Linked DNA regions of Lonchura striata. The protein of the gene in region 1 purifies or fractionates together with the protein of each later gene. This does not show direct contact. Links are inferred from orthologs where the notes say so. Each region holds a gene or a part of one and is shown in the gene's direction. Other genes may lie near its edges. The genes, in order: DCAF7, PFDN4, YAF2 and ZNF503.

Region 1 (7,488 bases):
CTGGAGCTCCTGCAGGCCCAGCTCAGCAGGTAGGCAGGGTTGGAGAGGGCCTGGAGGACTCTAGGCCATCACCTTCTGCTTTCTAGAGGTGGCTGCAGTGGGCTCTGTGTGCAGCAACACCACATCCTGACGCCTGGGACACTGCATTCCTGGGGAGGGGGTGGGAGTGCTTTGCAAAGGCAGCGGCTTCTCAAAGGACAAATCCTGACCCTGGCTGTGGCCCAGCCCCTCATCTGCTGCTGTGTCACCACCCTTGGCATCTGTCACCACCTCCAGGATCTCCCACAGTGCCACTCGAGATCTGTCACTTTGCCATGGCTTCCAAACTCAATGCAACTGCAGATACTAAATCATCCACAGGCAAAACTGGAGCCCTTTGCAGGTCCCCTCTTCCTGCTGCAAAGACCTACAAGCATCTTCTTGCTTGAGCAAATGAGCCTCATGGCCATCATTGGCCTCTAAATAAGAAAAATACATGATTTTTCAAACTGACAGAGAGTAGGCTTAGATTGATTTCTAGGAAAAAGTCCTTCCCTGTGAGGGGGTTGAGACCTGCCACAGGGTGCCCAGAGCAGCTGTGGCTGCCCCATCCCTGAAGTCTTCTATGTCAGGTTGGAAGGGGCTTGGAGCAACCTACTCTAATGGCAGGTGTCCCTGCCCATGGCTGGGGATGGAACTGGATGAGCTTTAAGATCCCTTTCAACCCCAACTGTTCTGTGATTTTTGAAGAAGGAAGAGCCCACACTGGAGGTGCAGGTTTAATGTCCCCAGGCAGCACACATGAGGGGCTGACACTGTGGGTTCTGCTGCCCTTGTTAAGCTCATTTCAGCACACACTTGAATTTAGATGTCTCTTCAGTGCACCATCCTACTGCACTGGGGACAGATCTGCCCACTCTGTCAGTGATGCTGTGACTGTGTCCTGCAAGTGGGACTGTGTTCTGCAAGTGTGGCTGTGCCCACTCCTGCAAGTGCTGCTCACATGGCAGAAAGAATAGACTTCTGCTTTACTGTTTTCTTCTGTTCCTGAGTTAAAAGTGGTTGGCACTAACCTGCCTTGCTCCATCTGTCAGAACAGGCAGCTGGCCTGGAGAATTGATCCAGATTAAAACTAACCATTGCAATCTTTTCCCCCCTCCAGGGTAATTTTAGCTTTTTTCAAATCCCTGCTCCAGATCCCAGTTTGGCTCCACATAAAATTGGGCAGAGGATGATTGAGTGTGGCAGGAGAGAGATGGCAGGATTGATCTCTCTCTGGTAGTGCCGGTTTGAAGCTCTCTAAAAACCTCAACAAGCAGCAGGGAAAGCATCACTGCCCTGGGGTAGCGGGATCGGCACCTCCTCCCAGCGCCTCCCCTGCCCAGCTGCAGGATGCAAAAGGGTTCCCTGCGCTGACGCCAGGCTGCTCTGTCCCCAGGCTGGAGTCCAGGATGTCGTCAGACATTCATATAATCCTGCAGCTCCTGCAGCGCCAGCTGTCCCAAGTGCCACCCGCGTACAGCCCCATCTCGCCGAGCTCCCACAGCCTGGCCATGTACGGCATCGTCCCGCGGAGCCTGGAGCCGCTCGGCCCCTGTGCGCCTCTGCAGGACCAGGAGATGCCGACCCAGGAGCAGGTAAGGTCAGCCCTGCTGGCTCAGCCCCCACCAGGCTCCTTCAGCCCCGAGTTCTCGCCAGGCAAGGCACAGCCAAACACTGATGGGTCCCGCCAAAGCCACGGCGTCTTGCCCTGGGAGCAGATCTGCCCAGTGCACCACTGGTTTTGGGGCACCGCTGCTATCCCCAACGCTGCCAGGCTGCCCATCAGTGGGGAAGGAAGGGGGTTTCTCTGCTCTGAGGCTTTCTCAAGTGAAAAATAACATTTTGGGGCTTGGAGCTGATGAGGCTCCAAGGTTGATGAGGAGAGAGTATGCCTACTTCGTTTTACTTTTACCATCACCCACACAATTCCTCATTTCCCACCAGAGCCCGAGCTACACGGAGGTAGAAAAGTTCCACTTGAAATCCAGGGACTCCTTGTCAAGCGGGATGCAGCTGTCGGTGTCATCCGACAAAACCATGACGGTCTACTCTGAGCAGGAGCACCCCTCGCCACCTCTCCTGAACCCAGAGCCTCCCCACCAAAGGGCACCAAGCGCCCAGGGACTCTTGAGGGGCTCTCGTTTCCCTTCCCTCCCTGAGCACTTGGAGGCATCTTCCGAGCACCAGGACATTCAGAGACACCTCTCCGACCCCGTGCTTCCTGGAAGTTAGAGACGTGGGGGCTGCAGGGCGAGTCAAGAGGAACCTCAGCTGCAGACCCGGTCAGTTGATGTTGGTTTTGACTGCAAGGGTAAAACATTGGACAATGCCATTGGCTCAGGGGTATAATTTGTAGCTATCTTCTGCCACCATGACAGGAAGTATAGAGTGGCTGGCTTCCAAGGCCAATGTTTTCCAGAGGTTCCCAATAGAGTAGATTTCATTTGCACATTAGAGTGAACCTAGAACAGCTCTTACAGCCACCATCGAGCTGGTTAGGCCACGTGGTTCCCACCACCTCCTCCTTGCCAAGGCTTCTTCTCGAGAAGGGCACAAGCCAAGCGAGCCACAGCAACCACAGGAGAGCCGATCCAGGGCTCTGGGCTGCGAGGCTGTGTTGGAATCCTTGGGAGCAGGGAACACTGTGTTGGTACAAGGCTCAGCCCAGCAGAGCCTGCAGGCACTACAGAAGGGTGGTCACCATAGGACTGTGAGATCTCCACGGTGTGGTCCAGGGGAAACTGCAGGTGGCAAGCCCAGGACAAGGACAGAGGACAGAAGTTTGTCCGACTTGATTGCCACTGAGAAGTGAAGGGCCAACATCCCCTGCCACCTCAGCCTGCTTCAGCACGAGTCCCAGAGCACTGACTTCTCCAGCAAGGCTGATCACACCTTGCAAACCCCAACACGCATCCCACAGCTCACCAGGTAACTCCAAGTCGCCACTGGCCTGGGCATAAAGCACAAAATTCAAAAGCACAATCCCAGGAAGCTGAGAAGCCCCAGACACCCCGTGTCCAGTCCTCCCTCCCAGCCTCCCTCTTTTGATAAAGGTTCAATAGGTGCTTCCTCCTGCCCACCCCTTCTCCCGGCAGACTCCGCAGCATTCCCGTAGGAGAAGCCCACGTAGCGCTGCCGCTCGCCACTCGGGTAGATGCTGTGATAGACCTAGACCGCCAGCTCCAGTATTGTATCGAGCTCCCTCTGAGAGTAGTCAAACTGTGAGCATCTCTTTCTCTGGAGTTTTAGTGTACACTTTGCTAATAAAGATGTTTTTGGCACCTAAGGTGAATTACAGCTGTGTTCGTTGGGAGCATCCATGAGTTCATCCCGGGCATCGTCACCCCAAAAAGGCTGTGGTCAAAGCCCGGTGACCTCATCCAAGGAGTGTGGGGCTATGCGCAGTCAGCTCAAGGGTGGAGCCTGCGGAGGCTTCGCCGAGCAATCCCTTCCCAAAAGGACATTTGGAAAACCTTTTCTGCGAGCCCAGGCAGCTGCATACGAGAAATGATCTCTCAACCACAACTCGGGCAGAGCCCAGAGCAGCGGTGCTTGCAGCGGGTAGCCCTGCCAGGAGCACGGCGCTGCCCAGAGCGGCCCCGCAGCGCGCCGAGCGGACACGGAGCTGCGGGGGCTGGAGCCGGGACCGCACATCCCCGACCCCGGCCGGCCGCACAGCCCGCGGCGGGTCCGGCCAGCCTCGCTGCGCCTCGAGCGGCGTGCCGGGCACAGCGAGCAGCTCCCTGGGCAGCCGGCTGCACCCCTTCTGCCAGTACGCGCCAGGGCTGCTCCCAAAAAAGCACCATAATGAACTGCTTGTTAATTAGAGATTAAGCGCGGGCCCGTCCGCCACTCGGCCGAGGCGGGGCTCGAACCCGCGACACACGAGAGCCTGAAGCGGCCCCACCCGCCTCGGGCTGGCGTGACTGACATCGCTTCCAGCCAATCGATCACCGCTAAGGGCCCAAGGTCCCGCCTCCAGTTAATGCGACCCCGGCCAGCCAACAAGATGTCGACAACGAGCGTGCCCGCCCCCCCCGGGCGGGGCCAAGCGCAGCCGTAGGTTACCCCAGCCGGAGTGCGCCCGTCCGTCTGGAGTGAAGGGCCAGACGGCCAATAGAAAGCCGAGGCGGGCTGAGCGCACAGGCAGATCGCCCAATAGGCAGCCGCCGCTCTGAGTGACAGTCGAGACGCCCAACCCGCGCGCAGTGGGCGGCGCTCCCCGCGTGGCTTCCGTTCCCGTTGTGTGAGGGGCCGCGTCCCGCACGGCCTCAGCAGCGCCGCCGCCGCTGCCGGGTCTGGGCCGGCACCGGGGCCGAGCCGTTCCCCGGGGCCGAGCCGCGCCTCCCCGCCGCCCCGAGGGCGAGCCGAGCCTTCCCCGCTCCCCGGCACCCCGGGGGCCGCGCCGTGCCCCGTCCGCTCCTGTCCCGGGGCCGCGCTGAGGCTCCCCCCGGCCCGCGCCGCCTCCCCGCTCCCTCCGGCCGGGTCCCTCCGCAGGCTGCCTGGGCCCGGCCCGCGGCCCCCCCGGCCCAGCCATGTCGCTGCACGGGAAGCGGAAGGAGATCTATAAATACGAGGCGCCCTGGACCGTGTACGCCATGAACTGGAGCGTCCGGCCCGACAAGCGGTTTCGCCTGGCGCTGGGCAGTTTCGTGGAGGAGTACAACAACAAGGTGGGCAGGGTGGGCACAGGGGCTGGGGCAGAACGAGGCTGGGGGAGCGGGGGCGCCTCACGGCCAGAGCGGTCAGGGACCCCCAATGCAGGCCTGGACCACGTCAGGCTGGTCTCTGCTAACCCGGGGTGAGGGACACAGGGAAGAGCCCTGGGGGCTGCTGGTTCTGGGATAACGCTGCTGCAGGCTTCTCGTGACCTCTGATCTTCGGAATTAACGATTGTGTTGGCTTCGATCACATAAGCACCGCGTGCTATGAGTTCTCTGTGATGTAAAGAGCTGGAAACTAAAGGTATGATATGGGTCTGGTTGCTGCTGCTATAGAAATAAAACAATTTCCCCTGGCTTGGGCATATCTGGTTGGGCATATCTGGCTTTTTGCTCAATTTGCACAAAGGAAAGTTTGTGGCCAGTACATATATATGCATATAGCTATAAAGAAGTTCCACCTCAATGTGATGAACTTCTTTCCATGGAGGGTGGCAGAGCAGTGGAACAGGTTGGTCAAGCAGCTTTTGGAGTCTCCCTTTCCTGTGACATTCCAAACCCACCTGGATGTATTCCTGTGTCACTTGATCCAGGTTACTCTGCCTAGAAAGGGGGATTGGACTGGAGAGTTCCCTTCCACTCCCTGTGATGTACAGGGTGTCTGAGACTGTGTTGGGAATGTGCTGTTCTCATGTACTTTCTTGCTGTGGAGGACTTGAGTGTGGTAACTTTTTTCATAACTATATAAACCCCTCTCAGTATTGATTCCTCAGTACTTTTCCCTGAGAACAAGGGTGTAATGAGGCATGAGATTGTATCTTCAGTGTTTCACTGCAAAGTGTGAGTGAAGAATGTCACACCAGTAACAGAGACCAGTTCATCGCTCAGAACACATGTGCAGTCACTTCTGAACACCTTCAAGGTGCTGGCCGGTATAATGAATTACTTAGAAATCAAAGAGAGATGAGAAGATGGATGAAGTTATAGAGCATCCTGAAATTCTTGTGAAACTGAAGGTTTGCCCACAGAGCTTGGTTTATATCATGTAGCTGTGTAGCCTTATCAAGGTGTTTAATGGAGATTGTGGAAAATACAGTCAGAAAGTTGTCTTGGGGACATGCCTCTGTAGAGGTTGTGCTGTACACAGCTGGCTCCTGGCACTGGAGCGCACCGACAGGCCCTGACCAGATGCTTCCCACATTTCCACATCCTCCCAAGCAGTGCCCCAGAGAGAGAGGGTTCAGGGCAGTTCTTCTGCAGGAAGGTCATTTGTTCTCTTAAGATCCTGCACTGCAAAGAAAAATTGATTGAATGCTGGAGATTAATTGGTGCAGTGGCATCTTTCTGATTGTAAAATAATCGTGAAATGTTATTTTAGGTAGTTATAAATTAGACTAAAGTTAAGGAGGTTTTCAAACTACTGTGGACTTACTTCACTGTTCCTCCAACCATATAAGAAAAAGAAGCCGTTACCAAATTCTGCATCATTTAGTTCCGTCTGATTCTTTTGTATCAAGTTAGAGATAGGTTTTTTTTAGAACTTAAGGGATGCTGATTAAAGGTGGTTCTTTACTCGCATGCACTGTTGCAAATATGCTTTATGTTGATAAGTGCTTGGATTATAATATGCTAAAATTAGGTATGGATTTTCCTATATTGAAGTGTTGGAGCGACAAATAAATATTTAGCATTCCTAGCTACTGGCATGGCAAAATCACAAAACTAGTTGAGGCTGAACACGCTGATCCTGGTTTTCTCTCTGGAAAGACTTATAGGGAGATGTAGAATGGTTCAAATTGTATCCAGACTGACAGTTACTTTCCCTTAGGCATTACCTCAGTCTTACCTGGGCTGGACCTCAGGCACTCCTTTGTGCAGCAGCATTCTTGCCTCATGTGCAGAAGGGAGAGAGAGAGGGCTCTGATGTAATTGGCATCCTAGAAATAATTCCATGTTCCATCCCCTCGTGTTCAGCCTGCACGAGAGGCTGAGTGGAGGGGTTCCGTGATGACTGTGTGTGATCAAGTCCCGAGAGAAGAGTCACAGCTCTGAACTTGCAGAGTTTCTCAAGCATTCCTGCTGCTCCCAGCAGGGCAGTGCCTGCCTCCCCCTCGCAGTCACTGCCAGCTGCTCCTGCTCTGGGCGCTGGGCAGGCCCCTGAGCTGCAGCAGCTCTGCTAGTGATAGTACAATTCCTGTTCTCCAGCCTGGCCTGCACCTACACATGGCAAAGATCAGAGCTACTGGATTGCTGAATTGCTTATCTTAAGGTCTGAGGAGGGGTTAAATGTGATTATGCAGTGCAGGAATATTTACATTAACACCAGTGAAAGGGAATCCTTTGCTCTTTGAGATTTGCTTCTGGAGAGGATGTTGATTGTTTTGTGTAGGATTATTACAATCATGTTGAGTGGCAAAAAAACATAAGCAAGGGAGAAATTATTAGAGGTCATTTGTCTTATGATCCTAACCTTGCCATAAAATCTTTTATCACCATGGACAATTTGCTTCCTTTGTAAAATCTGATGAATACTTCTGATCCCTAAAGGAGTTAGAAAGCTATTTGTCAATCACTTCAGAAGTCTGGGAGATTTTTGACTGATTTATACTAGGATATGAAGGATAGTAAGGAGTTGCTATAATAGAGAGGGCAAGACAGGCTGTGTTTCAGTTTTTGGAAGCATATTTGGCTGCATCTTTTTGTTATGAGATGGAAAGGATGGAGCTTCTCATTGTGGAGGGTGGGGCAAGGCTTTGCATTTAAGAGAATCTCTAAATGAGCTCATAAAACTGCAAATTAATTAGAT
Region 2 (6,895 bases), on another chromosome or scaffold:
AACCCCTTTATTCTATTTTCACTCAAATACTGGTTTTAAACATCAAACTCCTCTTCTTATGTCCCATTCTGGATGATTACTCCTCTCCAGGATGGCAGTAGCAGTGGATGAAAACTCAAATTCCACCAGCCCAGGAATCCTCCAGCTGGCCATGACTTGTGTGGGGTTATAAACATTGCCACACTCCACTACTAAAGGAGCCTCTAAATCAGTGGTTCAAGAAAATGAAGAAGATTATTGACTTAATTCAAGCAAAGATTGCTTAAAAAATAAAAATCGGGCCATCTTTCTTTGTGAAGAAACATTTATTATCTGCTTTAGATGAGCAAGCAGTGCTTCATGCACTGCATCTTCTAGAGAGGAGCTTCCAGGGGAGAATCAGGGAGAAAATGGTGAAGCAGACCAAGAAACCGAGGTCCAGGAGAAGATGCTCTGAGAGTCAGCTTGGAATTACTCAGGACTTGGCAGGTTTTGCTTTTTTTTTTCTGGAAATTAGAATCACTCACTGGGATGTTACAATTTCTTGTCTCTTTTAGCAATATTGCCCTGCCTGAGCAGGGAAGGGTTTGTGCAATAGTTACTGACCCAGGCTGAATATTTCTCTTTGAACAGAAATCTGGAAGCTTTTGTCACCTTCCATGCAGAGCTGTGGAAGGCACATTTATTTATTTTTAAAAGCAGCAGCATTTAGGAATCCCTGGAAGTGTCCCAGGCCAGGTTGGAAGGGTTTGGAGCAACCTGGGATAGAGGAAGGTGCCCCTGCCTGTGGTGGGGGGTGAAATATGATGATTTTTGAAGTCCCTTTCAACTCAAACCACTCTGTAACTCCATGAATATGTAAAATCTTGGTGAATTTTTTACCCATGAGGTAATTAATCCTCATTTCACACTTCTCACAGAAAAAAACTCTGCTGAAGAACAATAATTTACATTCTTCTTTATGTGCAGTTACACATTTAGCCTTCTGCCACGGCATTTCCATGCCTTGCCCACATGTAGTTGACACCCAAAGCAGCACTTTTGTGATGGCACTGAAAAATTCTGAGTATTTCCAGTTGTAGTGGAATTCATGGTGAGGTTGCTTTTTATTTAACACGAGGGATTTTGAAAGAATGAGGGCAGAAAGGTGAGAAAGTCTGCTTTCCTTCCCTCAGATTACAAAATAATGAAAGAAATCCTCACTGTGGGGGATTTGCCACATAAATAATTAGGAGATGTCTCTTTTTTTTTGGAAAAGATAAACACCCTTAGAAAAGGATTTTTTTTTTTTACTTCAAGCTCCATTCCCCCTGCAATGCTGGTACAAGAATGGCAGACACAAGGACCTGCACTCCACAGTAAATCCCAAATATTGTGGGAATGTCACAGCCACCTCCTTCACCACACTGGCACGACTGAAACGGGACAAATTCGTGTGGCTTTTGCTCAAAGTGGTCCCCTCCATCCTGGAGAAACAACCACTTCATCCCCATTTCCAAGTCACAAACCGTGTTGGTGTCTGAGGGTTTGGAGATCACCAAGGCCTGAGAAAGGTCTGTGGAGCTTCAGGGAGAGGGGAGAAGAATTTGGGAACTCCAAAGATTTCCATGAGGCAGGGAGAGGGGAGAAGAGTTTGGGAACTCCAGAGGTCTCCATGAGGCAGGGAGAGAGGAGAAGAATTTGGGAACTCCAAAGATTTCCATGAGGCAGGGAGAGGGGAGACAAGTTTGGGAACTCCAGAGGTCTCCATGGGGCAGGGAGAGAGGAGAAGAATTTGGGAACTCCAAAGATTTCCATGAGGCAGGGAGAGGGGAGACAAGTTTGGGAACTCCAGAGGTCTCCATGGGGCAGGGAGAGAGGAGAAGAATTTGGGAACTCCAGAGATTTCCATGAGGCAGGGAGAGAGGAGAAGAGTTTGGGAACTCCAAAGGTTTCCATGAGGCAGGGAGAGAGGAGACAAGTTTGAGAACTCCAGAGATTTCCATGAGGCAGGGAGAGGGGAGACAAGTTTGGGAACTCCAGAGGTCTCCATGAGGCAGCAAAGCATGGCAATGCATTCCCCAGCGAGCTGCCCTGCAGAAGGCTGGAGCAAGGAAGGGAAAATGTGCAAAGAGCCCCAGAGGAGCCGTGAGACGAGGGCAGGGCGTGGAAGGGATCCCAGGAGGAGAAGCCAAACAACAGCAGCAGGGAGCAGAGCAAGAAGGAGCAAGTCCTTTATGCAACGGGAGAGGAGCGAGGGCGCTGGGTTCAGCGGGTTCCTCTCCTTCCCTCCACGCTGCCTGGCTGCACTCGTGAGCTGTTTTCACTTTTATTTACATAAGAAAGGTCTGCAGTGAGTTACTCTTGGCAAGGCTCACTCCGCAGAGCCTGCCCGAGCGTGTGGGAGAATAAAAAGGATTTCTTTTCAAAGCCTTGGAGTCATCAGATTCTTGTGAAATCCACTCCTTTTCTCTTGGGGGAAGCTGCACTGGCTCCGTGTGCTGGGCAGTTCCTGCAGCTAGGGAAATACCCGCTGTGTCCTTTCCTAGCAGGAGGGGTGAGGGTTTGTTTTCTGAGGAAAAGAGAGGTTTGGAGCTGGGATTATGTTTTTATAGAAATTAATAATAAATAATGCGCTTCTCTGGGGAGAAATTTGGTGATGAACTTCTTTCCTCAGTGGGAAGCAAGGCACGGTGATTATGATGATGATGCACCAAAATAAAATGTAACATCAGCCTGAGGAGCACCCAAAATATCCTTTATTATCCTGTCTTTCCCACTGGTTTGGAACTGGAGTTGTGAAATGAGCAGCCATTCGGAACCGAAAAACAACCAAACCAGAAATCATTTTATTTCAGGCAATATTATAGAATTAAGTATCCCATCCTACTCCATCCCATCCCATTCACCCATCCCATGGATCCCATCCATATCCCACTATCCCATCCCATCATCCCATCCCATCCCAATATCCCATTATCCCATTATCCCAATATCCCATTATCCCGTGGATTCTAATATCCCAATATCCCATGGATCCCATCGCAATATCCCAGTATCCCGTTATCCCAATATCCCATGGATCCCATCCCAATATCCCAATATCCCAATATCCCAATATCCCAATATCCCAATATCCCATGGATCCCATCCCATGGATTCCAATATCCTGTTATCCTGTTATCCCACTATCCCATGGATCCAAATATCCCAATATCCCGTTATCCCAATATCCCATGGATCCCATTATCCCAATATCCCATTATCCCATGGATCCCATCCCATGGATTCCAATATCCTGTTATCCTGTTATCCCACTATCCCATGGATCCAAATATCCCAATATCCCATTATCCCAATATCCCATGGATCCCATTATCCCAATATCCCATTATCCCATGGATCCCATTATCCCATGGATTCTGTTATCCTGTTATCCCATGGATCTCATTCCATTCTCTCATTCTCCCAATATCCCAATAGTTATCCCGTTATGCCGTGGGTCCCAATATCCCAATATCCCATGGTTCCCATCCTGTTATCCCGTTATCCCAATATCCCAATATCCCAATAGTTATCCCGTTATCCTGTTATCCCGTTTTCCCAATATCCCAATAGTTATCCCGTTATCCCAATAGTTATCCCGCTATCCCAATAGTTATCCCAATAGTTATCCCGTTATCCCAATAGTTATCCCGCTATCCCAATAGTTATCCTGCTATCCCAATAGTTATCCCGTTATCCCAATAGTTATCCCGTTATCCCGTTATCCCAATAGTTATCCCAATAGTTATCCCTCTATCCCAATAGTTATCCCAATAGTTATCCCGCTATCCCAATAGTTATCCCAATAGTTATCCCGTTATCCCAATAGTTATCCCGTTATCCCAATAGTTATCCTGCTATCCCAATAGTTATCCCGTTATCCCAATAGTTATCCCGTTATCCCGTTATCCCAATAGTTATCCCGCTATCCCAATAGTTATCCCGCGATCCCGCGGGTCCCACCCGTTCCCGTCTCATGGCGCCCCCTGGCGGACCCGCACGGCGCCTGCCGCCCCTCCCACCGGGCCGTACCAAGTGCTCCGGGGGCGCCTTCGCATCCCTCCGAGCTCCGCGGCCGCTCGGGACATCCCGGCGCGCTGCCAGCGGCGCCCATAGAGACAATCCCCGATTTTCCCAGGGCCGCGGCCTTTTCCTGGAGTTTTTCCTTTTCCTCCTTCTTCTCCCCGCGCCCGCTGCCCCCCCTGTGCGCGGGTGGTTCAGCCCCGCATGGCTGCTGCAGCGCCAACATGGCCGCCACCATGAAGAAGGCGGTGAGTGGGGAGCGGGCCCGGCGGATTCGCTCCTTTCCAGCAGCATTTGCTCCCTTCCCGCAGGAATTCCATCCCTCCCGAGGCTGCTCCGCGGTGTCCCTCAGCCTCGGACGCGGCCGGGCCGAGCCGTGCCCAGAACGGCGCGGCCGCCGCTCGGGAGCTGAGGGCCCCGGGCTCGGGCGGCTCGTTTAAACAACGATGATAAACAGGGTGGACGTGAGGAGAAAATTGTTCTCTGAGAGGGTGCTTAGTTATGGAATCGTCGTCATCGTGGCTTGGGTTGGAAAGGAGCTTTAAATTAATCTCATTCCATCATTGCACCTCCTGCCATGGCAGGGACACCTCGCACTGTCCCAGGGGCTCCGAGGCCCGACCTCCCTCACAATTCTTTCCTAAATATCCCTCCTGTCTGTCAATTCGCAGCCATTCTGCTCTGCATGTCACTAACTGCTCCTGTTCATGGTGTCTCTGCAGAGAAAACTCGGAGCAGGGTGTTCAGTTCAGCCGCCAGTGGCAAGGAAACTGTTTTGCCTTTAGGATGGCAGTGTTGTAATTGGATGTTCCCCATCTAAATGTGGGTATTTCTGGTGTTCTTGAAGAGGCACTTTGAGCAATCAGGTGCATAAGCAGAGTGTGGTGTTTGCCAGATTATTTCCCATCACTTTGTAGGAGCATCCTTGCAGTGAAACTCAAATTAATATAAGGACACAAATCATCATTTTTACCTCTCCTCCTCACAGGCTGCAGAAGATGTCAATGTCACCTTCGAAGATCAACAGAAAATTAACAAGTTTGCAAGAAACACCAGCAGGATCACAGAGCTGAAAGAAGAGATAGATGTGAAAAAGGTATATTTGCTTTAGATCTCATGAGCTTTTCGTTGGATTTTCAGCTGGAACAGAGAAAATTAGCAGCAGTGAGTTACTGTGAGTTCAGGTTATGCTTGGGTTCTGATATGAGGTTTCTTATACTTTGGAAATAGAGAATGATAAGATATCATATTAATTAATAAATGCCACTAATATCAGATATTAGTGACATTTAAACCTGTATTACCCTTGCTTGGACAGTTAATTATTCCGTTAATGACAGATAATGAGTGCTGACTTGGGGTTTTTACTGGATGGAATTGCTGAATTCCAGCTCTGACTCTGATCTCGTGGATGTCCTGGTGGTGGGTGGGATTTGTCCCCGGACTCCAGCCTCTCTGGCCTCCTTACCCAGCTGTGCCCATGGAAGGGCTTTACACAGGGAGCCTCTTTCTGTGTCCTGGCAAACAGAAGCAGCTGCAGAACCTGGAGGATGCCTGTGATGACATCATGCTGCTGGATGATGAAGATTCCCACCTGATTCCCTACCAGATTGGGGATGTCTTCATCAGCCACTCCCTGGAGGAGACGCAGGAGATGCTGGAGGAGGCCAAGGTTTGTCTGGAGCAGCTGGGCTGTGCTGTGAGCTGGGCACTGGGGTGGGTCTGTGCACCCTCTGCAGCTTTCTCAGTCTGAAATTTGGTTTGGTTTAGGATTTGAACTACTCCAAAGGCACTCCAGCAGTGAATCCTGCAGCCAGACCTGGGAATGAGTTGGAAAAGAGGCACCTCTCTGCTGGTTCTGTGTTGCTGACAAGCCTGGCTCAGTTTGTTGCACAGGATTGATTTGAATTTATTTTTTTCTTTTGCAGAGGAGTTTACAGGAGGAAATTGAGGCGCTGGAATCCCGAGTGGAGTCGATCCAGAGCGTGTTGTCTGACCTCAAAGTTCAGCTCTATGCCAAGTTTGGGAATAACATAAATCTGGAGGCTGAGGACAGTTAAAGCTTTTCTAAACACAACACCCAACTTTTCCTTAGGTTATTAAATGTTTTGATAACATTGCTGCAATTATACTGAGAACAGAAAATCCATCCCTTTCTTTTTGTTGATTTGTCTTTTTTTTTTTTTACTTCCCTGTATAAAGTTCTGTACATTTAATAAGAACTTCCTTATTTTGGTTATTGCAGTTATTTATTTATTCAGGAAAGCACCGACTTCACATTGCTGGCAAAGCATCAAAATTGGAATATTTGCGTGGTTTATTAAAGCAATAAAGCCAGGCATGTATTGGAGTTTCCTGGGTTTTGTTTTCCACTCATGAAAAGGTTTAAAACAAATGGAAGGAGGGAATTTTGGAGTGGCTGTTGGCTAAAAACTGTGTGACACGGGACATGATGAGGGAATGATGCTGTCCAGGGGTTTTTAAGAGCCCTCCTGGAGCTCCTAAATTCCTCCTCTGTGTTTCACCCTCAGCTCAGGTGTCAGGAGTTTGCCAGGGGACAAACAAGGGCTCTTTAAAGCTCAGTTTTGTAGTGAGGAAAAGCTTTTGGAGCCCCCATATTCACTCATTTACTGCTTTGTATTTGGGAATCCCAAAAACTGCTGCAAGTCACAGTGGTGAGTCTTAATTTCTAATTGTCCTGAACAGCTCCTAAATCCATATTTCTGTAGCAAATTGATGTCACAGTGGTTCATAGAGTCAGCATCGAGCCCTAATCTTTGCCTCCATCACTAGGAGGAGTTGAATGTAATTTTTAAATGTCTTAATTACCTTAATTTGTCTCTATAACCAAACAAAACACAAAAGGGGG
Region 3 (7,347 bases), on another chromosome or scaffold:
AAATAAATTTTCTTCAGTCTAAAAGGCTGTCATGTGTGCCACCAAATCCCAGCAAAAGGATCAGAAATATTTAGTGAATGTTGAGAATGCTCTTTCATTCCTACCAGTGATCCTTCACATTACCTTAGGGAGGGGCTAAATGGAAAAAGTAGGGAAATTTCTACTATAAGCGTTTTCTGCCATGAAGCAGATTTAAAGAAACTATAGAGCTGAACAACTTTACAATTGATTATAAAATCTGAAAGGATAAAAGCTGGGTCCAAACTAGAAGAGTAAATGACAAGTAAGCAGTTAATGAATTAATTACTTGAAAATTACCAGGTACCTGAAAGTAAGTGGTTTGATAATTTCATTCCAGTTCACAGAGGACAAATATGAAAAAAAACCCATTGTGATCAGATTTTTATTGATCTTATATGCGCAACTACTGCTGCTGTGCTTTAACCTGCAAGAGTTTTGTGTACAATCCTCTGACGAATTTGGAGCCAAATTTGTCTAAGCATACAGTCAAATTATGACCCTAGAAAGACTCCTGGACTTAATTACCACCATGTTACTCAAGGTTCATGACAGCATATCCCTGCTGATGTCAGAGCCACTCTGTGTGAAACCTGAAGGATATGCTGATGAATCAACTCTCATAAGTGCTATAATTCCCTAAAAAATATACAGTATGTTTAGATCAAACTTGTACATGCAAGGAAGTGAAAACTCTTTTAAAACAGCTTTTAGGCTCTCTGATGTCATGAAGTATTTTAGATGTGGTCCCTCTCTGTTCTGGCCCTTTCTAAAGCAGAATTTCGCTCTCCTGCCTCCACACTCTAGTAAGAGGAGCATGAGTAGTCAGTGGGCTGCTCCCAAGGCTGAGCAAACATAGGCTGGAGGGGCAGTGCTTGCTGTCACCAATCTTATTGTCTTTATTATAGAGTCTGCAAGCAGATTTCACTTTTCACTGTCTCTGATTTTCAATTTTTCCCCACCCTAGTATCACATAGAAACCCAGCCAGGATTCAGGCCTTACTCTACCTAGCATTCCAAAAAACCCCTTGCCAGTCAAATTCCCATTAATTGATTTCATTGTATTAATTTTATTATACCACCACAACCCAAGCAAAACAGATACACTGTGCTGGAATAACATGCATTTGTTCTAGTACAATTTTATACTTATGTGCTATTCCTTTTCATGAATAGGGATTAAAATGTGGTTTATCTACAACATAATGATAATCATCTTTATGGAGAGTTTTTTAAGCTCAAGCAGTGACAAAGTGATTACTTAATTGCTCAAGATGCTGATAATGCAGCAACTGGCACAAGTTTGCTGTGCACAGTGATGGTTCAAGTATTGACTAAATGGCAAGTCTTTGTATGGATTTACACAGCACTAGCTTGTTCTTAATAACCTTGTATGTGAACACCTTTTTTTAGGAACAACTGTAATTTTTTCTGCAGTAAGAATTTTTACACAATAGGTACTTAAAAATTTCTACCATCCTCTTTCACATCTTCTTTACTATGAATAAACTTTTAGCTGAGAAGTCATGAATGCCAGAACATTTATACCATACACCGAAATACATAACTTCCAATAGCTATCAGCATATATGATTTTTAATATCATAATCATACTATGAGCATTTCCCTTGTACAATGCTACAAAAAATATAAATTTTAAGATAATAAGACAACAAACACTAACTAGAGAGTGATGCCTGATGTAGAAAGATACAATTATATTGCTCATCCCTTCTGTCTCAAAAATGTGTTTACATTAACTCAGCTGAATTAAAACAGGAGGCAAATAATTGCTCTGGAAGAACTGTACCAGACAAAGTCAAAATTTAAGGATATCTAAAATTATAGTACATTCATCCCTTTTCTTTCCCAGAAACATTTTTTAAAAGACTGCTAATACTGATGCCATCAATTTTGTCATTCAAAGTTTCTAGATCATGTGCCATACAGACATTTAGCAAAGACAGATGAGTTTTCTGGGTTTACATGAATACCACTGGATGACAAAGTATCTGAGTATGGAATTTTTTACTTTTTCAGTTTACCAAAGTCCCCCTGAATCTCTTCAGTATCTGGCTATTACACACACCTCTTACATATGCTTTCCAGCATTGCTGCTAAGTAATGCCTTCCATCACTGTTTCAGTTGCAGGGATGACATGGGATGGCTTGATGCTGTCAGTGGTCTCCTCTTGTGTTCCTATTTGAGGACAGAACAAGGATGCAAGGAAAATAGTATTTTTTTCCTTTTCAGGATTATTGAAGAATAAGACCCACACTTGCACAGACCCATGGCCACTGTGACTTGCATCATGACCCATACACTTGAACTTTTGAATGTACCATCCACATTTCAGCTTCCAAAATAAAGATTAGTTGGAGCTCAGGGGAAACAAGCCCAATGCTGCTGGGAAAACATGGTTATTTTTAGTCATGGTCATTTGCATGATGACCTTGAAGCAGAAGGTCTAGAACACAACAGCCAGAAAGATTACTCTTTTGTTAGGGATAACATTTATGGATGGCAGTTGCATTTCCTCCTCCTGATTATACATGGTCCTCTCCAAGAATGGTTCCTGAGGGATTAAAACATATCTAGGCACTTTGAAACCACAAGTGGAAATTCCGTTTCCCACAGTTGGTATAGAGAAAGTAGGCTGTGACAGGGGAAAGGTCAAGAGAAAGCAGTCATATCAAAATAATTACTTTCCAAAAGTAGGGAAATAATGTTTGTTTATACAGTGACTGAGAAAGAGTGTGCTGTGGAAAAGGGCAAAAGGAGACAGGTTTCTCTACTGCTTTCCATCAAGAGATTTCTACATAAGGTCAGGTTCAAGCACAGGTGGGATACCTCATATAATTCTGTAATTTTAAACATCCGCTTCTGGACTACTGGTGTAAAGTACTCTTTATAGTCAATGGAAAGAAATAGTCTCCATAAGTGAGACAATTGTCTTAGCATCAGATCAATCACCTTCAGCATGAGCTTGTTTCTCCTGCTGAGAGCTGGGTCTGGGCTCCTAGTCCATGTAGATGTCTAACTAAATGCACATGAGCCCAGGCCAGCTGTCTGTGCGTGGCATGCCTCACCCTCAGATGTGCAATCCGTACATTTTATTCATAATTTACAGAAGACTGCATGAGAAGCCTAAAGAGAAATTGCAATAGACAAAGGAAAGGAAAGGTGAGGCATATATAGAAAGAGAACCGTAAGGTGAGGAAAATGGCAAGAGTGGAAGGTGGACAGGTTTCCAGTTGCTGACACACAGCATTCCTAGAGAGACAGAGAAAACTGTGAATCTCGTAAAAGTGTTATTCATTTGCATAAATGCTACATCCCAGTTAAGCGGTCTTTAATTGCTTCCCTAATGTGTCAAGTGCTTTACCTACATTTTCCCTCTCTATCCTAGTATTTCTAGCTGAAATTTATCTTGACAACTTTGCCTTCAAAATCAGAAAGTTTCTCTGTTGTCCACTTGCTTAATTTTTAAACACGTCTGTGTCTTCATACACTTCAGTAAAACTCGAAATTTGAGCATATTTTGTTATGGAAATCCCATAATTTCTTGGCAATGCAGCAGGAATAGCTTTGGCACTGAGATGCTGACCGGTATAATTTTATTGTCTTCTTGCATTCTGCTCTCTACCTGTGTGTCTAGCTGCTGTCTTTGTTATGCTCCTAGGACATGTGCTCTTTGTTCTATTTGCACAGCACCCTGCAAAATGGCATCCTAGTCTGTGACTGGACTCTGGTGCACTCTGATAATAGAGGTGATAAACACCCGTGTCCTGTCTGAGGTTGCTATGGTGCATGAGAACCACGCTGTTCTTGCAAGCTTTTAAGTGCAAAAGTAGGACCCTGCGCACGGGGACAAGGCAACACCATTCTCCAGGTTTTGTATTGATACCCAGGGTGATCTCCCATGGCCTCAGGCCAACGGGATGCTTTAGACCGAGACTTCTAGGCAGAAGTTCGCATTCAGCTTATCCGCGTTTGTTTCTTACTGTAAACCACTGCCCGGAGCAATTTCTGTGGGAGGAAGCACAGGACGGTCCAGCCGCTAATGCGAGCAACCTCGGGCGACAACACGGGCGGCTTCACGGGAAGAGCCCGCAGGCCGGCGGCAGTCACTCACCGCGCCGCTCTGCCCATCCGCACCGCCTCCCCGCCGGGGCCGCCCCCGGCGCGGCGCCGCCCCCGCTCCGCCCGCCGCCCCCAGCAGCCCCCGCGCTGCCCCGGGCCCGCCGCCGCTCGCAGCGCCCGAGCCGCCGCGCAGCGAAGCTGCCGCCGTGCGCGGCCCGCCGGGCGCCGCGGCCTGCGGGCGCGCTGGTTGGCGGCGGCGGGACACGTGAGCGGGGAGGCGGCGGCGGCAGCGGGAGTTTCCCCGACAGCTGGGGCTTGCGGCGGCGGCTCCTCCTCCCCGGGTCCCCGCGAGAGCCCGGAGACCCCCCGCGCTCCTCCTTATTGACAAACGCACAAAGGGCCGCGCCGGGGCCGGGCCGGGACGCGTCTGGAGCCGGCATGGGGGACAAGAAGAGCCCGACCAGGTAGGGGCAGCGGCGGCGCTTTCTCGTTCCCCCGCGCCCTCCGGGGGCGCGGGGCCGGCGGCGGGGGCGCGCCGGGGGCGGCGGGCGCGTCGCGGCCGGTGCTGCCCCTGGCGCGCGTGTGTCTCCGCAGGCCGAAGCGGCAGCCGAAACCCTCCTCGGACGAGGGGTACTGGGACTGCAGCGTCTGCACCTTCCGCAACAGCGCCGAGGCCTTCAAGTGCTTGATGTGCGACGTGAGGAAGGGCACCTCCACACGGTGGGTCGCCGGCGGAGGGGGAGCGGGGCCGGCGGGGGGCGGCTGTGCGGCCGTGACAGGAATCGGGGCCGGGGGAGCCGCGGTGCATCCCCAGGGTGAGAGGGAGGGCGGCCGTGACAGGAATCGGGGCTCGTTTCTCAGGAGTGGGGGCGGGAACACGCAGCCTCCGCCGGCCGCGGCTCCTCGGTGAACCTGACCCAGCGCTGCGCCGGCGTGTGTAGAAACAGAAATAATAAATACCAGGAAGGGCATAATTGCCTGCACAGCCTAACCCTGGAGGTATTGTGCCCTCTCACGAACAAGAACTGTCCTCTAGGGTGTGCCTGCTAAGACAGTCACCCTTTAAATTTTTTAAAAATTTATTTTAATTTTTTTCCTGTGAGTTTAACTTTGCTTCATACATAACCCCTTTGTTTGATTATTATTGGTAGCATTATTTTAATTTGCTTTTCATCACAGAGCATCACCATGCAGGTTTCCGAGGGCTATAGGGGGTGGATTATAACCCTTCAGTGTTCAGGAGAAATTTTTAGCTGAATTGCGCTTTATGGAATTGTCTCCGTGTGTACCCGTGACTTCCCAGGAGGACCTTTCCTCTGTACACCAGTCACAAAGCTTGCTGTAGATTAACTGGTTCCTGTACCTGCCGGTGGCCTAAACATGTGTGCTTGGGGAATGGAGGCGTTTTACAAACGAACTTGAGTGCACTTGTAGCTATGCATGCTAATAGAAGGTTGCTCAGGAATCCTTTCTTACCTTTTCATACCTACGGGTTAATCCCATCAGCAAGAGAAGTTTAAATGGCAATCAAGTTGCAATCCTATCAAAAGCCACAATTACATTGTAGATATTGGTCAAAGCAGTGATGAGTATGACTTGCAATAAATGTTACATGATTGAAATCGTAAGGGCAACGTTGGGTCCAATTACTCGATAAAAATGATTATTCTTTATTTCTGGAGCTAGTTTCCCTGACTTCTGAAAACCAGAATGAATATTGGAAGGACTTCTCATAACTTCAGTTGTGAATATTAGTTGAATGTTTTTGTTTGTTTGTTTTTTAACAAAGAAAATCAGTAAGGTAAATGTGACAGGAGGGAATTGCATCTGTCACATATATTATGGTTTCCTGTTATAACAATGGCATTCTGTTTATATCACAGAGAGATGTGTACAGATTGGTATCGTTCAGCAAAATAAGACTGATGAATTAATGCAAAGGCTTTAAAAACATAATGCAAAAAGCCTCTAACATCCAATCAGTTTCATAAGAAAATTCAGTTTAAAATTATGTTTTATTGCTTTGGAAGCTCAGCTGGATAAAAGCATTGAAACTTAAAATTTTTTTTTTCTTCTGAGAAACAAATATTTTCATTGTCTTCGAGTTTCCCTGCTTGAATATTTAATATTTAAAATAATTTTTCAACAAATTGTCTTTTTTCTTTTTTTAGTTTCCACTTTCTCCCTGACAGTGACCTGGTATGCAAACTGTAGTCAATAGGTTGATTCTTTTTTCCCCCTCTACTTAAACTCTATAACAATGTGTCCCTGATTACGTTTATGGGACTCTTTGGGACTCTTTTTCCCCCTAAGATTTAGATGGGTTGCATCTTCATATTGCAAAATCCAAGTTTTACACATGGCATGAGGTAGATAAAAGTTGAAGTTTTAGGCCAGGCAGCTTTTGTCTCCAGTTCTGATATATGATTTGAGCCAGTAAGGAGACCTTTGTGTCCATGAAGAGAATCATTAGGGTGCCAAAGAAACACAAAAGGCCATCTGGGTGCTTGTTTTTTTTTCGTTGTGTTTTTTGTTGTGGGTTTGTTTTTTTTTTTTTTTTTTTTTCCCTAAAGACCTCTGGAGTCCAAGTGACCAAATGATTACCTTGGAAAAGCATTTGTTGGTGTTGCCTATAGGACAAAATGGTTTTCATCAACATGGGGCAGGATAACGATGCTACCATGTTTTGATGGCACTGAGAATGCATTATTTATTTATTTTAGTCTTCCATTTTGAAGCTTGATGTTAGATTAAGGTGCTGCATCAGCATGGTTGTTGCTGTGCAATGCTTCTTGCTTAAAGGCTTTAACTGTGGCTTTTTTTACTGATTAGAGCTTTGTCTATAAGACATTGTAAAATGCTACCTTTATTTTAAATTCAGAGCAATCTCTTTCTTTTTGTTGAAATGTGTACCTGATTCTGCATGTTAAAAGTTCATTAAATGTGACCAGATTTGCAGGTGGAAAAACAGGCAATTGTATTGAAGCTAAGTGGATTTGAAGGCCACTGGAAATCAGGTGCAAAGTTGATTAAAGCTTTTTTTATTTTAATACTGATTGTGCACATTTGCCTTTCCAGAAATATTTTCAGGTATGGGTAGGTTTTGTGGGTGTTTTCACTGTTGAATAATTTCTTCTCTCTGAAAGAGTTATCTTTTGTGCCAGAGGCTAGAAGTGGATTATGTTCTTTAGTAACTGATATAATTGTTAAGATTAGTGCAAATTTTTACAATTTCTTGATTATAT
Region 4 (6,972 bases), on another chromosome or scaffold:
AGCCTGACCTGTCAAGCGGATTATTTTAGAGGGAGATTAATAGGGGAGGCGGGCTGCAATAATAATCGTTTTGTTTGATGTGACAACTTTGATAGGCGTTGATTTACTTACAAACTGATAGGCTTTTAATTGAGCGCCTCCATCCAGCTTGAGATGAAAGGAAAACCGCATTGAAAAGCTGCCCGAGTGCCCTCGAGCCTCAATACTGATTAGCCATCTCGACAGTGAATAGTTCAAGGCATTTTCAAACTTTTTTCCTCTCTCGCTCTCGCTCTCCTCTCCTCCTCAAATATCTGCCAGCCCACTCCTTTTTAAGAGAAAATAAATCATTTCCATTGTGTGCAAATAAAATCGACTTGACATGCTTGCCAATAGCTGGTAGGTAAAGGAAAGTGTGGACTGGCACTTGTTAATTAATTCCTCCTTTGCTCTCCTTTTTTTTTTTTTTAGGTTACAATTTTCCTTTGTAAAAGGAGGAAGACGGGTTCCAACCCTTGGATTTTTTTTTTCAAAGGAATAAAAGCAACAGCCACCAAAACTTCAACAAGACTACACAAGTAAATGGCAAACAGCAAACCGTCTGCACGGACTCATTAAACAAGAATCCCTCGCGAAGGTTACGAGCAGGACAGTATCGCTCTTCTTCGGTTCAAGAGAGGAAAGGAGCCCGCAGCAGGCAAATCACAAACTCCGCACCGCTTTCAAGCTGCAGCCCCGCCGTCCGCCCGATCCTACGCGTGTGCATCCTAACTCCGAGCCCCTCGCTGGGAATCGTTTTCTGCGTGTGTTAAGCGCAGTGAATAAGTTCTCATAGCTCAAAAATGCTTTGGAGGGCGCAAATGGGAGGAGATGTCTTGGGGCTGATTTTTTTACAAGGTTCTACATAAAAAAAGTTTACAGTACTGAGTGATATTTAAATCTCATTTCAAAGGCTGAGTGGAGAGGGAAAAAAAAAAAAGAAAAAGAAAAGCAAATGAAAAAGCTGTCCTCTGAAGTTGCTAATTAAATTACCCTCTGATGCTTCTACTTCAGCCAGAAAGATCGGGGTTCGTGCTGTTCCCCCCGCTCCGTCCCCCGCTTTTCCCGTCGGAGCGCTGCCTGTTTTATACATGTACCGGCAATCGCCTCTGCTTCCTTGGCTTACAAGTAAAACAACCCTTTCCCGAAATCACCCTCACCTCCACAAGAAAAGAGAGAGGGAAGGAAAAATGGGGAGGGAGAGCCTTCCCACAGCTGACTCTACCTTAAGACAATTAATCTTTAGTCTTTCACCCTGGGAGGCAGGATAAATACAACGAGAAAACAGATAGGAGTCTCCCCGGTCCTGTAAGGAAAACAGCTGTTCCAAGCACTTTAATGCAAATGAACACAAATGAAGGTTTCAGCTTTTTTTTTTTTTTTTTTCTTCCAGAGTTTTACTGCACTCCATTTATCAATTGGACTTGACAACAAAAGAAAGAACTGGGGGAAAACCTGGGGCAGATTCAAGTCACTTCCACTCTAGATAAAGGAGGGGGGGCGGGGGAGGAGTTCCTTGAGGGCAAGTTGTGGGTCTTGTCAGTCCTATTGCAATATCGTGGGGTTTGTGCAATATTTCTTTCTCTACCTCCTCTTCCCTGCCTTTTAATTTTGATGGTTTTGCAAGATGACCGCGGTAATTGCAAAATGAAACTACGTTTATGATTATCCGCTGAGAAGTTGTGCCAATAAACCTTATCTTTCAGAGAAAAGATAGAAATTAAAAAGTTTGTTAAAATTAATGTTATCTTCATTAAAGCTAGAGGAGTTCCCTGTATTTATCCTACTCTGTATACTATAGTAAAAAAGTGATTTAAATAAAATCCAGCCGATACACTTACTGCGCTGCAAGATTTAAAGGGTACCTCTTGGCGGGGGAAGGGGGGGATACCGAGGAAAACCTGCCTTACACAGACCTCGTAAGAAGAGCAGGTCATTAAAGACTATCTGACACATCTGTTTAGGGACTGGGACAGATCAGTGTTTCAAGGGAAGAAAAAGGACTAGGTTCAGCAAATCTAAACGTGAGAAAGTGAAAGTCCTTCCTCTCGTCCAACCCTTCCAGGATCAGCGCCTGTTCTGGTTGGAGTCCAGGTCAGGAATTGGACGCGACCCCTAAAGCACTTGCCTTGTTCTTCACTTGTCAAACGTGTTTTATCTCTAAGTGACCTTTTTGTTAATGTTGTAGATTGTGTGGGCCACCATGTCAGATCCGGAAACAAAAGTAAAAGATTGATTAACACATTTTGCCTGTGAAAAAATGTTATGGGATGAGGAGGTGGGGGGATAGTGGGAAGCAAAGTACAAAGAGAAAAAAGGCAACCCAGAGACTTGAAGGCTTGCGGATTCCTCTCGGAGCATCCGCCGGCACCCGCAAAACCGGGGTTGAGGGCAGATGACTCGGTACCCTTCGGGAGCGCACAGACACACAGCAGGACGAATGTAACGCCCGGGTGGACACCGTGTGCGTACCCAGAAGGCTCTCAGCACAGCCTAGCTGAAAATCAAACACATAAATGGCGAACAAGTACTCTCGTTAGGGCGAGGGGCCGCCTCCCCAGGCCCCCGCTGCCGGGGACCGGTTCAGCCCGGCGGGTGCAGCGACGAAGGACACTTTCGAATAGGACGAAGAGGGAAGGGGAAGAGGAGTCCAGCAGCCCTCCCCGACAGGGCAGTGAGGGGCTGGGGAGGGCGACCGGCTGCTGGCAAACAAATCCAGTTTACTCCAAGGATTTATTCCGTAAATTAAAAGGCTTTTTCTCCCGAGGAGCCCGTCTCTCCCACTGTTTTCTTTCCTTCTTCCTCCCTCTCCCTCTCTCTCTCTCCTTCCCCCTTCAAGTCACACCAGGCTTGTAATCAGCAACAAAAGCTGACATAAATCAAGGGCGGATTGACAGGGGCTGACAAATAACTGATTGATTGCGGTTGGGGAGCACTGACAATTGACGGCGGGGCGGAGAGTCCCGAAAGGCGGCGGCGGGCTGTGCGTGACAGCCCCGCGTGTGACGACCTCCCCCAATCCCGCCGCGCTCCCCGCGCCGCCGCAAGCCGCGCCGCAGCGCCCCGGCTCCCGCCCGCTGCCGCCGGCGACGTGCAGGCCGGCGCTCTGCAGGTTCTCGTCCGGGCCTCCCCCGCGCTGCCAGGCGGGAGGGGCGGGAAAAGCGCCCCGCGCCCTTCCGCGGGTCCCGGAGGGGACACGGCGGAGCGCTGGTCCCGGAGCGGTCCCGGCGGGCTGGCCCCGGGGCTGGGGGCCGCCGGCCGGGCCCGCAAGCGCCGTGCGCGGCGGGCGGCAGGTCGTGCTCGGGGCGGTGTGCGAGCGGCGGGGGCGGGCGGGGGGAGCGCGGCGGAGCCCACGGCCGCCCCCCGGCAGGCGCGGCGCCCCCGGCCCCGCGGCCGCCCCGCCGCTGCCGCGCGATCCGCGCTGGCTGCGGAGGAAGAAAAACGTTCGCAGCGCGTGATGTGAAACACAGAATTAACGCCCATCCCATCCTAGGAGCGAAAACAAGGAAGGAGGGGAGGGGAGAGGGAAGGCGGACGAGAAAGGGAAGGGGAAAAAAAAAAAAAAAAAAGAGCGAGAGACCATTAAAAACGGAGAAAAAAAAGCCCAGAAAAGGGAACGTCACATCCCCTTGACCCTCCAATCACCTCGGGGTCCCATTTGATTGGAAGGCGGCAAAGGCTTTAATCTCAGACTAATTCAGCTGCTTTTGAAGTGAGTTTCTTTGCCAGATCCCGGGCTGGATGGGCAGCGGCTCGCATCACAGCTGAGCGGCGGAGGCGAGCGCTCCGCGCCGCGCCAGCCGGGGGAGCTGAGAGCGGCCGAGGGGGACCGCGGCACACGCTCGCAGCCCCCACCCCCGCCCCCAGCACAGCCCAAGGATTACTCGGCTTTTTTTTCCTCCGCTTTCTCTCCGGCCGGCTCCCCCTTTCCCTCCCCCTCCCCACCCACGCCCTCCCCGCCAGAGAGAGCCACGGGACATTGTATGTTTGTTTTTCTGCTCGGGGGGCGTGTGGCTTTTTTCCTTTCTCGCCCGCAGAAAGCGAGCGAGCGTTTCCGAGTGCGAGCGGCGCCACTTGCCCCAGTTTTCATGCGAGGTTTTGGGTCATGATCACATCGCCCTCGCTTTCTGCTATAAGAAGTAGTAAGCGCAGCAGCAGCCTCAGCGAGCCCGGAGGCAGCCCCCGCCGCAGCCGCAGCGCCGCCGACCTCGCCGGGCCGAACGGGCACGCTGGGAATAACGGCAGCAGCGCCGCCGCCAAGCCCTGCTTCCACGCCGTCCCCCCCTCGGACCCGCTACGCCAAGCCAACCGCCTTCCCATCAAAGTCTTGAAAATGCTCACGGCGCGGACTGGACACATTTTACACCCTGAATACCTGCAGCCTTTACCCTCCACGCCCGTCAGCCCCATCGAGGTAAGCACCCGGCCCCCGCCGCTTTCTCTCGTCCCTGCCCGGGCGCTGGCTGTGCATGGCGGCTCCGCCAGCCGCCCTCGGCACTTTGCTGCGCTTTGAAATGCATTTATACCGGGACAGGGGCTTTTTCTGATTTCGAGTTAGCGCAAGGAGCCGCTCCTGGTCATTGATTCCGTGTTTAGTGCGATAATTCTAGTTCCTGTGTAAATTAATATTTTCTTCTTGCTATTTTGAGCCCCTTTTTTTTTTTTTTTTGGTGGGTTTTTTTGGTGGGTTTTTTTGGTTTTTTTTTTTTTTTTTTTTTTGAGAAGCGGGGTGGGTGGAAGGAACCGATCCACGCTGGGGTCACGATCCGGCCACCCAAATAAGCAGCGCTCCGACCGCCAAACAGCCTTGCTTTTGCAGGGAGTATGTTGGGGTGGGGTGGGGGGGACACACACGGGACGGGACGACACGACGAGGAGAGCGACGGGCTCAAACGTGGGTGCGGCAGGACAACTATTTCGGCTCGCCGACCGATTCCTTTCAAGTACCGACGCGGATCTGTACTTTGGGGGGCCTGTTGGTCCCCTTTCTGCTCTGTCGAGGTTACCGGTCCCCCTCTGCGTAGGTCGCTGTTTGCGGGACCGAAACTCGAAACAGAGCTGGTTGTGGGAAGGGTGTGTCCGTGGGAATTAATGATTTCATTAAGGTCTCTGCGGAGCGAGGACTCTCTTCTCCTGGGGAGCCCTGCTCGCCGGCTAGCTCGGGCTCTATTTATAAATAGTGCCAGCAGTCAGGGTGCAGAAATGCTGCAGTCGCTATAGTTCACGGGCGGGTTTGCGGGCAGCACGGCCCGAGCGACGCCGAGACGCCGCTGCCCGGGCCGATGCCGGGGAGGCTGGGGACGCTGAAGGCGGCCGCGGCGAGCTCGCAGGGTTACAAAAATCCCCAGCCCTTTTTAAAGGCTTTATGGAAAATGGTGCATTCAAGGGAGGGGGCTGTCAAGTTGATGAATGCGCACAAACTGTTCGTTACTTCCAGGCTGTGCTCTGCAGAAACCTACGGGACAAGAGTTCTATGTAAGTAATGGGGGTTTTCTCGGACCCCCATTAAACCTCTTTCTTTGTGTGTCCTTCTGATTTCCGCAGCTGGATGCAAAGAAGAGCCCTCTGGCCCTTTTGGCACAAACTTGCTCTCAGATTGGGAAGCCGGACCCGTCCCCTTCCTCCAAACTCTCTTCGGTCACCTCCAATGGCTCCGGAGGCGACAAGGACTCCAAGTCGGGCCCCTTAAAGCTGAGCGACATCGGCGTGGAGGACAAATCGAGCTTCAAGCCGTACTCCAAGCCGGGCGCGGAGAAGAAGGAGCCGGGGGCGGCGGGCTGCGCGGGCGCCCCCGCCGCGGGGGTCGCGGCCGGGGAGAAGTCGGGATTCCGGGTGCCGAGCGCCACCTGCCAGCCGTTCACCCCAAGGACAGGCAGCCCCAACTCCAGCGCCTCCGCCTGCTCGCCCGGGCTGCTGCCGGCCGAGGGCAAAGGCGGGGAGGACAAGAAGGACTCGGAGGGCTGCGGAAAGAGCGGCAGCTCCGGCTCGGAGGGAGGCCCGGGCACCACCAGCATCAGCCACAGCCGGATTAGCGTGAGCTGTGCCGGGATTAACGTGGAGGTCAACCAGCACCAGGAGAGCACGCCGGGCTCCAAGCCCATCGCATCGGACTCCGCCTCCTCCTGCAGCAGCACCACCGCCACCTCCTCCACCTCCGTTCTGGGCTCCGGCCTCGTGGCCCCCGTCTCCCCTTACAAGCCGGGCCAGACGGTTTTCCCCCTGCCCCCGGCGGGCATGAGCTACCCGGGGACGCTGGCTGGAGCCTACGCCGGCTACCCGCCGCAGTTCCTGCCGCACGGAGTGGCTCTGGACCCCACCAAATCCTCCAGCCTGGTGGGGGCCCAGCTGGCCGCCGCCAGCAGCCTGGGCTGCAGTAAGCCGGCGGGGTCGAGCCCGCTGGCGGGCGCGTCGCCGCCGTCGGTGATGACGGCGAGCCTGTGCCGAGACCCGTACTGCCTAAGCTACCACTGCGCCAGCCACCTGGCAGGCGCCGCCGGAGCCTCCTGTGCCCACGACCAAGCCCTCAAGTCCGGATACCCCCTCGTCTACCCCACCCACCCTTTGCACAGCGTCCACTCCTCGCTGACCGGCGCCACGCCGCCTTCGCTAGCCGGCCACCCTTTGTACCCCTACGGCTTCATGCTCCCCAACGACCCCCAGCCCCACATCTGCAACTGGGTGTCGGCCAACGGACCCTGCGACAAGCGCTTTGCCACCTCGGAGGAGCTGCTTAGCCACTTGCGGACCCATACTGCCTTCCCGGGCACCGATAAACTCCTCTCCAGCTACCCCAGCTCCTCATCGCTGGCCAGCGCAGCGGCCGCAGCCATGGCTTGCCACATGCACATCCCCACGACGGGCGCCCCGGGCAGCCCGGGCACGCTGGCCTTGCGCAGCCCGCACCACGCGCTGGGACTCGGCAGCCGCTACCACCCCTACTCCAAGAGCCCCCTG

What was found.
Region 2: the proteins of DCAF7 (region 1) and PFDN4 purify together in Homo sapiens (affinity purification with mass spectrometry; 3 studies listed by BioGRID and IntAct, with this or other methods). This does not show direct contact. The link is inferred for Lonchura striata from reciprocal best matches to the Homo sapiens genes DCAF7 and PFDN4.
Region 3: the proteins of DCAF7 (region 1) and YAF2 purify together in Homo sapiens (affinity purification with mass spectrometry; 3 studies listed by BioGRID and IntAct, counting the BioPlex papers as one, with this or other methods). This does not show direct contact. The link is inferred for Lonchura striata from reciprocal best matches to the Homo sapiens genes DCAF7 and YAF2.
Region 4: the proteins of DCAF7 (region 1) and ZNF503 purify together in Homo sapiens (affinity purification with mass spectrometry; 4 studies listed by BioGRID and IntAct, counting the BioPlex papers as one, with this or other methods). This does not show direct contact. The link is inferred for Lonchura striata from reciprocal best matches to the Homo sapiens genes DCAF7 and ZNF503.

What each region holds. Positions count from the first base shown.
Region 1 is NC_134627.1:9,009,011-9,016,498, reverse strand, and holds the start of DCAF7 (DDB1- and CUL4-associated factor 7), read left to right. Parts: upstream 1-4,468; 5' UTR 4,469-4,556; coding exon 4,557-4,694; intron 4,695-7,488. Other genes in the region: voltage-gated inwardly rectifying potassium channel KCNH6, read left to right, coding at 1-29, 1,418-1,616, 1,966-2,253. UniProt on the Homo sapiens protein: Involved in craniofacial development. Acts upstream of the EDN1 pathway and is required for formation of the upper jaw equivalent, the palatoquadrate. The activity required for EDN1 pathway function differs between the first and second arches.
Region 2 is NC_134619.1:2,290,626-2,297,520, forward strand, and holds PFDN4 (prefoldin subunit 4), read left to right. Parts: upstream 1-4,169; 5' UTR 4,170-4,250; coding exon 4,251-4,274; intron 4,275-5,014; coding exon 5,015-5,122; intron 5,123-5,554; coding exon 5,555-5,698; intron 5,699-5,954; coding exon 5,955-6,086; 3' UTR 6,087-6,376; downstream 6,377-6,895. UniProt on the Homo sapiens protein: Binds specifically to cytosolic chaperonin (c-CPN) and transfers target proteins to it. Binds to nascent polypeptide chain and promotes folding in an environment in which there are many competing pathways for nonnative proteins.
Region 3 is NC_134607.1:38,823,483-38,830,829, reverse strand, and holds the start of YAF2 (YY1-associated factor 2), read left to right. Parts: upstream 1-4,347; 5' UTR 4,348-4,540; coding exon 4,541-4,566; intron 4,567-4,696; coding exon 4,697-4,822; intron 4,823-7,347. UniProt on the Homo sapiens protein: Binds to MYC and inhibits MYC-mediated transactivation. Also binds to MYCN and enhances MYCN-dependent transcriptional activation. Increases calpain 2-mediated proteolysis of YY1 in vitro.
Region 4 is NC_134609.1:11,135,267-11,142,238, forward strand, and holds the start of ZNF503 (zinc finger protein 503), read left to right. Parts: upstream 1-3,954; 5' UTR 3,955-4,123; coding exon 4,124-4,432; intron 4,433-5,562; coding exon 5,563-6,972. UniProt on the Homo sapiens protein: May function as a transcriptional repressor.